Linked DNA regions of Nothobranchius furzeri. Each later gene encodes a partner of the first gene's protein in a complex. Links are inferred from orthologs where the notes say so. Each region holds a gene or a part of one and is shown on either strand. Other genes may lie near its edges. The genes, in order: ngfrb and tradd.

Region 1 (4,289 bases):
ACCACATAGTAAATTAAAAATAAATAAAACTAGTTTTAAATGAACTCTCAAATGGATCGTAAGTAAGGATAAAACAGAAGTCATGCATCCTCCTCTTCATTGCAGATAGACAAAATATAGTTTAACAACAGTCATACATAATAATGCACATTCATGCCTGCTAGCCAATGCTTTGTAAAATAATAATAAATTTATTTAAATAACAAAAGCTTCCCTCAGAACATTCTGAAATGCTATAAAATTAACCTCGGGATCTTTAGTAAGATTTTCAATGAAATTAGATCAAGTTCCTGTGCAGTAAAACCCTACAAAGGCCTACAGTGCCTAAAAAGGCACTGTATAAATGCAGGCCAGGTACCATTAGCCAAATGCATGGCTTGATATATATGCTTGCATGTTTTGATAAGCACAACCCTAACATGTTGGCTATTAAAAGACATTGCGGGCTTGTTTAGACTGTAAAGGCAGACATCCTAAAACCTGACAAAACCAAAGGCAGGGGATCTTCCAGAGAAGCCAGTGAAACAAAATCAGCCAGATGACAGCTGTTGTAGCAACGGCCCATAGCCTTCATAAAATGGTAAACTGCCATTGTATAGTGCCTTCTTAGGGTTCTACATCCCCCCAAGGCGCTTTACAACACAATCAGTAATTGTCTCACACAGACACACACACACACACACACACGCACACGCACACACACACACACACACACACACACACACACACACACACACACACACACACACACACACACACACACACACACACACACACACACACACACACTGATGATGAGCTACACAATGTAGCCACAGCTGCCCTGAGGTGTACTGACAGAGGAAAGTCTTTCCAAATGTTGCTGCCACCAGTCCCTCTGACCACCACCAGCAGGAAAGGTGGGTTAAGTGTCTTGCCAAAGAACACAACAGCAGCATTCTCTCATCTGAGCTGGGATCAAACCTGCAACCTTCCGATTACTGGACAACTCACTTTACCTCCCGAGCTACTTACTGCCCAATAAAATATTACCATACAGGAGGTTGTTGGGTTTGGTAATGTTTTTAGCCTTTGATGCATTAATTCCTTCTTTCAATCCTAGAGGCTAAGCCCCCTGTGCCTTTCAATGGCCCTGCTCTGCTATCTGTCGGGTCTAAATTCTCAAAAAAAGTTAATAAACGAGCTGTTGTGTGTGTGTGTGTGTGTGTGTGTGTGTGTGTGTGTGTGTGTGTGTGTGTGTGTGTGTGTGTGTACGCACGCGCGCTTGAAAGTGGGCGTGTTTTGGATCTCCTGAAGCCGCAGAGCTGAGAGCTTCTGCTGCGTGAGAGGTGCATGAAGTGCGCACAGAGAAACCCAAATGGGTCACTCATTTGCGTCGTTTGTTCCCACCGACTGACCGCATTCTGTGCGTTGAAACACGGGCTACCAGACTCTTGAGTGAGCGATTTTATTTATCTAATAAAAAGTATTTTCCAACTTTGTTTCTTCAGCTAAACTAAAAGTCGTAGAGATGACAGCCGTGATCTTTTCCCTTCGAAGTTGCTGAGATCCGCATCCTTCTGCATCCGATCCCCATCTGGAAATATACAAAGAAACAGGATGAAAGCAGTTTTATTCTTTCTGATGCTCGGATTGGTGAGTCTGCTTTCAACTTTCTTTAAAGAAACATTTTGGATTTGAATACGCGGAATAAGTTTGTGCGAAACGTTTCATCCTTTCAGTTTTTAACTCCTTCCACATGCCCCTTTGAAATTTGATCAGGAAATGTTTTAATAAATCACAGCAAGCATGCTGAAATCTATACATTTGGATGTTTTGATGGATTTTTAGAGACATTTAAGACTTTCTTGGCACGTGCACCTGTCCCCTTGCAGCAACCATTCATGTTGACCACGTTATCGTTGCTGGAGCTACAGTCCAGCCGGCTCAGTTACGTTTTTGCCTGCAGAGAGCAGGACAACGACGTGCGCTCACGTCCACAAAAACAAACCTAATAAATGTCTCATTATGAATTAGTTAGTAAAAACTCAGCATCGCTCAAGGAGCTCTGCACTTTGTTCAGATCCACATGACATTACAGAAGGAAAACAAACCGCACGGACGCACGAGCCGCAGCAGGAGCAGAATATTAAACACGCGCACCCAGAAGGAAACAACGAGTGAGGCAGGAGCAGTGTCATGGCACGGCAGCAGAAAGAGCAGGAATCTCTTCAGAGTTTATAGTTTGCTGATTGTTTCCTTGTTCGACGTCCAGACCAAACTTCTCAGCGCGAGACAGCTCAGTCACAGTCTGGTTTAGGAGCTGCATCACCAGTAAATGACAGCTGCTTCCCCTGATGGTTATGCATCCTCTGCTGGCTCAGCACATGCAATATTGATAGATCCTGAACCCTTCCCCACTCCTCTTCATCCTCATCCACCCTTGCTCTTTTCCTCACATCCTAAAGATATATTTTTGTACACCAATTTTCCAGCTTTTGTGACTAAAAGTTATAAATAGTCACCACCTGTTTAGTTCCCTGAATATCCTCCGGTCAGAAACATAGTGTTTAGTTCCTTTAGGCCTGGTGAGCTAGCAGCTGGTCTGATCAGCCAAGACAAATGTGTGTTAGTTTGATGCCATCTTGACATCTCTATAATTGGAGAGTTGTTTGGAGACTTTTATGCCGTCATCAGTTTTCAGGATCAGACACATGACATTATATGGTAAGTGTCTGGCGTATCGTTAGTTATCAGTGTAAATATTACCAACATAACCGTTGCACAAACTGCTATAAGAATTTGAAGCAATTAAAAAAATGTATATATATTTTTAAACTTTAAGCTAGAGCTTAAACATTGATCTCAGTGATTGCTGGGTTACAAACTTGACCAGTTTCATATTTGACATCAGTCTGCAGCCCTCTGTTGACCAAAAGCTGCACTAGATGGTTTTGTGGAGCTGGTAGGTGTTCTAGGGGGCGTTCTTCATGGCTGTTATCTGTAATGCTAGTGGTTAGCATTTTCAGTTTGCTGATCGTCAATAAAAAGCACAAGAAGAAGAAAAAGAAGAAGTTTGCCTTTTCTGGTAGCATCATGGCGGAGCCTGGAAGTAAAAGTAAGAGAGTAATGTCTGGAGATGAAGCAAAAAGCTAAAACCAGAGCGAACATCGGCATGGCCTACACTAGTTTGAGGAAGCTAAAGGAGGCTACTGAATCACGGACTGATATTGACCTGGCTTTGTTGCTACTGGACTTGTGTGTAATAATATTTTATATCAAACAGTGTGGCTCTTTTCACTTTGTGGTTTATTTTAGTATTAGTTGGCTCATGTTAGTATTAGCTCGTGTTTAGCGCCAGCTACAGCAGGTTGCAGCAGGTATGTTCATGACAGTTATAATTTTACTTTCAACCAGTAGGGCCGAGGAGCAGGACACTGCTCTGTGATACTTTGAGATGACAACACGTGTTGAAACTGGGTACAATTGGACCCTTTTGACAAGATAAAAATGGCTTGAACTTTATAGGCAACTCCAAAACAGACTGTTGGCATCTTAAAACAGCTCCAGCCTTCTAAGATTCACAGCGGCCAATAAAAACATACTTTTATTAATCATTACACTACCAACAATTTAACACCACACTATTCATTAGGCCAGTGGTTCCCAAACTTATTTAGCCGTGCACCCCCTTCTATGTCCCGACCATGTCGACGCACACCCCAGCCCCCACAGCAGGGCATGGATATATAAATATATATATATATATATATATATATATATATATATATATATATATATATATATGTGTGTGTATATCAGACGTCAAGCTAAACAGACAGGGTTAAAGAATATGATCGACCTTTTTCCCATCACTTTCATTTTTTAAATAGTAATTAATAAGCATTTGATACCATTACAATTTCCTTTGATTTAATTTTAAATAAATATTTAGAGTGCCCAGGTAGCACATAAACAATGCAATTTAACGGTTTTCTTAAAGTAGGAACGTTTAACCTGTGTGGCCAGAGCTCTCTCCTTCCTTCTGCTCTGCGTAAACCTGAGCTGATCACCTACTTGTGCGTGATCAAATGTCTATAGGGGAAAAGATGGAAAAGATATTTTGCCTCAGACCGACTTATTGCTGTTTTATGGTGTGGCTGAATCTGCGATCCGCTGCCATGCGGACCGGAATAACAAATGCTGCAGTAACATGAGATGTAGTCAGGTTCGGAGTCACTGGCTGGAGCGGACCCGACTTTAATACGTCATCCCAAAATAGAAGCTAATATCTTAATTTGACCTTGAAT
Region 2 (4,405 bases), on another chromosome or scaffold:
TTGGACAGTGCGATTCTGTATCTCCTGCCTGATGGGAGAAGACTGAAGGAATGGTGGAGGGGATGAGAAGGTTCCTCTGTGATCAGTGTGGCTTTCCTGATCACAGAGCGCTCGTGCAGAAGGGAAAGGGGGAGTTTGTAGTGAACCAATTATTTTGCCTGCTTGATCCGTTGCAGTTTATTTTTGTGCTTACAAGTGAGAAAGTTGTACCAGGATGTAATGTTAAACGTTAAAATGGATTCTATGATTGACCGTTAAGACAGTTACGATGTTTTTCCTGACATTAAAATCCCTTAATTTCCTGATGAGATGGAGGCGCTGGAGTGCCTTATTGTAAATGGAATCTGAGTGTTGTTGAAAGGACAGATGAGCATCTATCTGAGTCCCCAAATATTTAAAACTCTCCACCAATAAAAATGGCATTAAACCCATTAACCGTTAAACAAATAAATGACTCCTAATGTTCAAATTCTGGCTTAGTAAAAAAAAGTCTGGTTTTTAAAATGTGAAAATCAGTAAATCGCTATTGATATGGAAATGATTTCCCTCTTTCATATTCATTTTCTCTCCCCCTTTCCTTACATTTTTTCCTTTTCTCCTTTTAAACACACTTCTAATCATTTTTAAAATCTTTTTATACTTTAATTTATTTTTTGTTTTTATGAAGCTCTGTGTGATTTTTATCTTGAGAGGCGCTATATAAAATATCGTCGTAATGAAAAAGCATTAACATATTGTAAAAATTTGAGCTAAATGTGAAATGTCAAATACAAAAGTATGTTGAAAACGATTATTAAGTTGATGTTTAAAGCTTTCTATTGATAGCTCAATCCTCCTGTCAGAGGACGCCAGATAAACCAGAAATCACAACCCACGTTTTTTTAAATCCATCAACAATAACATGATCAACTATGTCAAAGCAGACAAATCCTAAAGCTAATTCATTTCACCATGATCTAGTTTAAGTATCAAAACCCAGAAATTGTTTTAACTTCCTCGGTATTCACCCAAAATTACATAGTTTCCTAATTTTTACATAATAAATTATTATTTTAACAGGTTATATGTAATTTATTTCTGTCAGAGCTGCATAAGACCAGAAAATGGAAACTAATTTTTAATCAGCTCACATTTTCCACATAGTGAGAAAGAGGACAAAAATAAACAGACGGTGTGGTGTTTCCAACTCCGATTATTTCAACCTGAATACATAATTCGATTTTATAATACCGGAAACTCTTCCCTCTTGTTTCTAGGAAATGTTTTCTACAAAAGATAAATGTACTGCAATGCCAAATTTACACTTCCTGTTTGTCATCAGTTAGCGCAACAATTTCCACCAATCAGAACGTAGGTTGATTTCACTCAGCCAACGGGAAGCCAGGAAGTCCCTGTCAGTGGGTGTGATTTCTAAGGAGGAAGCCTAACCGAACAAACTAAACCGTTTTAAGGTAAGTTTGTCCCAACTGTAAGTTTGACCTCACAGCAAAGCAGAAGTCCGGTTATTTAAAAGCTTCATGTGTGCGCTCGCCCGCCTTTACGCAGGAAAATAATTAACAGCGGGAAGTTTTTTGAGCTGTGACGTTTTTCGAGCACGAGCTGTGCATCTCTCCCCAAACGACACTAAGTAAAAGTTTCACACACTTAAGACACTTTTGTGTTCCATGGGGCGATTAAAAACAACAAGAAGGTTTGATCACTGCTTGGAAAAGTTACCTCTGGTGGCAGGTGACTTCTACTGAAACTGAAATCATATGTAGCTTTGCGCATGCTTTGTTGGAGGACACTAATGGTTACTGTTTTATACTTGAAACACCGATAGTTCATGTAAACAGATCACAATACCTTAAGAGTCTTAAAACATTACAATAATAATTTTTACACAACATAAACAGGTTCTGCATCCTAAAGAGACTAAATTAAAACTCTAAGAAATGATATTACAATGCAGTTAAAGTTTTAGATGTAAATCCATCAATTTTCATTCTAATAACATGCTGAAAAATAAATATCAAAGTATGACAGATAATACTAAAATAATCTGATTTCTATAATGCTATAATTAGCCTTTAAAGTATAGTGTTCCCCTAGCCTGGCAAGCTTTCTTTGCAAAGCAAGAATTTGGTCTAGTTCACAAGGCTAGTGTTCCCCCAGATCCTGGTCCTCAATCTCATATCCGGCATGTTCAAGTTGTTTCCCTGCTCCAACACATTTAATTCAATGTTTGCATTTGGCTTGCAGAAACCTGTTAATTGTCTGCTGATTAAAATCTGGTGTGCTGAAGCAAGATAAACCTCTTAAAATATGTAGGAAGGTGGCCCTTTCAGGACCAAATTGAACATTATTGCATTAAAGGGAATGTAAATAAACAACTATTCTAGTTTTATCCTGTTATGGAGTATTTCTTTTCTGGGGGGAGTGATCTCTTCCATTGCAATTATTTTCTTTGACAAATAAGGATCTTTGAGTTGTTTAAAGACAAAAATTGTGAGTTTCATAGTCTTAGTAATTAGAAATATAAAAAAGGAAGAATGCCTGGAGCAGACTGGTCCTGAAAATTCTTTAGGTGCAAACAAACAGAACTAAAGTTTTGTCGAGAAATGTCTTCTTGTCGAAACGTTAGAAATGTCTTGTCAGTTCTGTTTTTTTGCAGCTATTAAAGACTTTTCAGGACCAGTCTGCTCCAGCCATTCTTCCTTTTTTCTATGCCTATATCCCATGGGCTGTCAGAGCACCTGTGTTCCTGATCGGATGATACGCAACATGCTCGCTGATTATGTTTTAGAAATAGATTTATATTGATGCATGCCCCTTTTGGCTAAAATCAAATGAGCAATATTTTGATGAGGTTTGATGATGTTTTGGTCTCTTATATTTATGTTTGTTTCCTGATTTTAGCTCTTTTACATTTTCATAATAATAAACATTTAGTACAACTTGCACACATTACTACTTAGTCATTTTTAAAACCTGCATATGAATTTTGATGACATCCAATAGTTGTCCAGATTATTGGTTTTCAGCCTCATTTTCTGATTAAAGAATATATTTAAAGGTTATTTGGTAACAGAAATAACATGAATTAATTTGTAAAATGATTGTCTTTTTTTAAACAATTTCCCACATAAATAGTAGGAAAATACAATAGAATGGAATAAAATAGATTTTATTGATCCCACAGTGGGGAAATTCACTTTTGACAGCAGCACAGAGACAAGAGAATACATCTGAAGAAAATTCATAATAAAGGTACATGTACTGTATATACACATAGGCAGTAAGCTAGTATTGTGAACATGAGTTAGTAATTATATCAAAGATTGTGTTCTATTTAGGAACAGAGTGGCAATCAGCAGGATTAATAACACCTTTTTCCAAGTGTTTCATGACAAAATGACTGCTGTGAGAAGGCCCTTCATTAATTACCATAACAATGATTCTAGGTTGGTGTGTTTGTGTGAAGAAGTTGTTGCTACCCTGGGTTCCCCTCAGAACAGAAACTGCCCGAGGTAGCTTACTTCATGCACAAAACATCGTGCACGCTGAGTAGTACCTGGCTGGCTGGTGGAAATGCACATCCACACCCATCCACCCCAACACAAATACAGCAGCGTGCGCTCGAGCAGGCGTCCAAGCACTCTCCAGGGTTTCGCTTCACTTCTGCATATAAAGACAGAGAAAGGGCTTGATTAGGCAATACCCTGCTGATACACTCATTAACCTCACCTGGCTCTATTCCCAGGACCAATCTGCTCCACCTCTCCCCTTGCAGCTGAGACAAAACTACACCCCACTGCTCTACTGTGCCCTTCATGTTTGCTTTTATGCCTCTGCTCAGTGTGATTCACCACATTTAGGCTGTTTTTTTCACACAGTGCTTGATTTTAAGATTACAATAAGGTTGTGTTGTTACAGTCTATGAAACTTAATTCTTTTATTATGTTAAAAGGTGCATAATAGATGACATATTTGACATTTTGTCTGAGAACATATATTTTAAAAAATCATCATTTTAAGATGCTTTAAGATAATTTGTCGAGCATTAAAAAAACGTTATATATATTTATTTATTTTTAGATGATGGTGCTGCCAGTATAAAATTCAGGTTTGGTAAACACTGAATTTTTTTCTTTAAAGACAATGTGTAGGTTTTACTTTGAATCTCTGGAAAAATCCATCAAAATGTTGTTGAAAATGAATTAAATGATGACCAGTTGTTGAAAATTATTGGCAGTTTACACATAACCATAAAAACGGGTTTAAAATACATGTGAGCAAGTCTGTGGATGTTTCTCAGTGTCAAGGCACCCGGCCTCGCAAGGCGACTAACACAAAAATACTGCTTACGTACAATGATTTAGACATGTGCTCCCCCCTTATCGCCAGGAAAAATACACATTGTCAC

Evidence for each region.
Region 2: the proteins of ngfrb (region 1) and tradd are in contact, whole or in part, in an NMR structure (PDB 7CSQ), measured with the Homo sapiens proteins. The link is inferred for Nothobranchius furzeri from reciprocal best matches to the Homo sapiens genes NGFR and TRADD. Residues at the interface, in NP_002498.1 of Homo sapiens: Glu345, Glu346, Glu348, Lys349, Leu350, Asn352, Gly353, Ser354, Ala355, Glu379, Ala380, Cys381, Arg384, Glu420; in NP_001310481.1 of Homo sapiens: Thr201, Phe202, Asn211, Ala275, Glu276, Arg278, Arg279, Thr281, Gln283, Arg284, Glu287.

Annotation. Positions count from the first base shown.
Region 1 is NC_091756.1:35,452,745-35,457,033, reverse strand, and holds the start of ngfrb (nerve growth factor receptor b), read left to right. Parts: upstream 1-1,295; 5' UTR 1,296-1,437; intron 1,438-1,490; exon of another isoform or gene 1,491-1,539; 5' UTR 1,540-1,599; coding exon 1,600-1,635; intron 1,636-4,289. UniProt on the Homo sapiens protein: Low affinity receptor which can bind to NGF, BDNF, NTF3, and NTF4. Forms a heterodimeric receptor with SORCS2 that binds the precursor forms of NGF, BDNF and NTF3 with high affinity, and has much lower affinity for mature NGF and BDNF.
Region 2 is NC_091749.1:60,146,808-60,151,212, forward strand, and holds the start of tradd (tumor necrosis factor receptor type 1-associated DEATH domain protein), read left to right. Parts: upstream 1-1,363; 5' UTR 1,364-1,451; intron 1,452-4,405. UniProt on the Homo sapiens protein: Adapter molecule for TNFRSF1A/TNFR1 that specifically associates with the cytoplasmic domain of activated TNFRSF1A/TNFR1 mediating its interaction with FADD.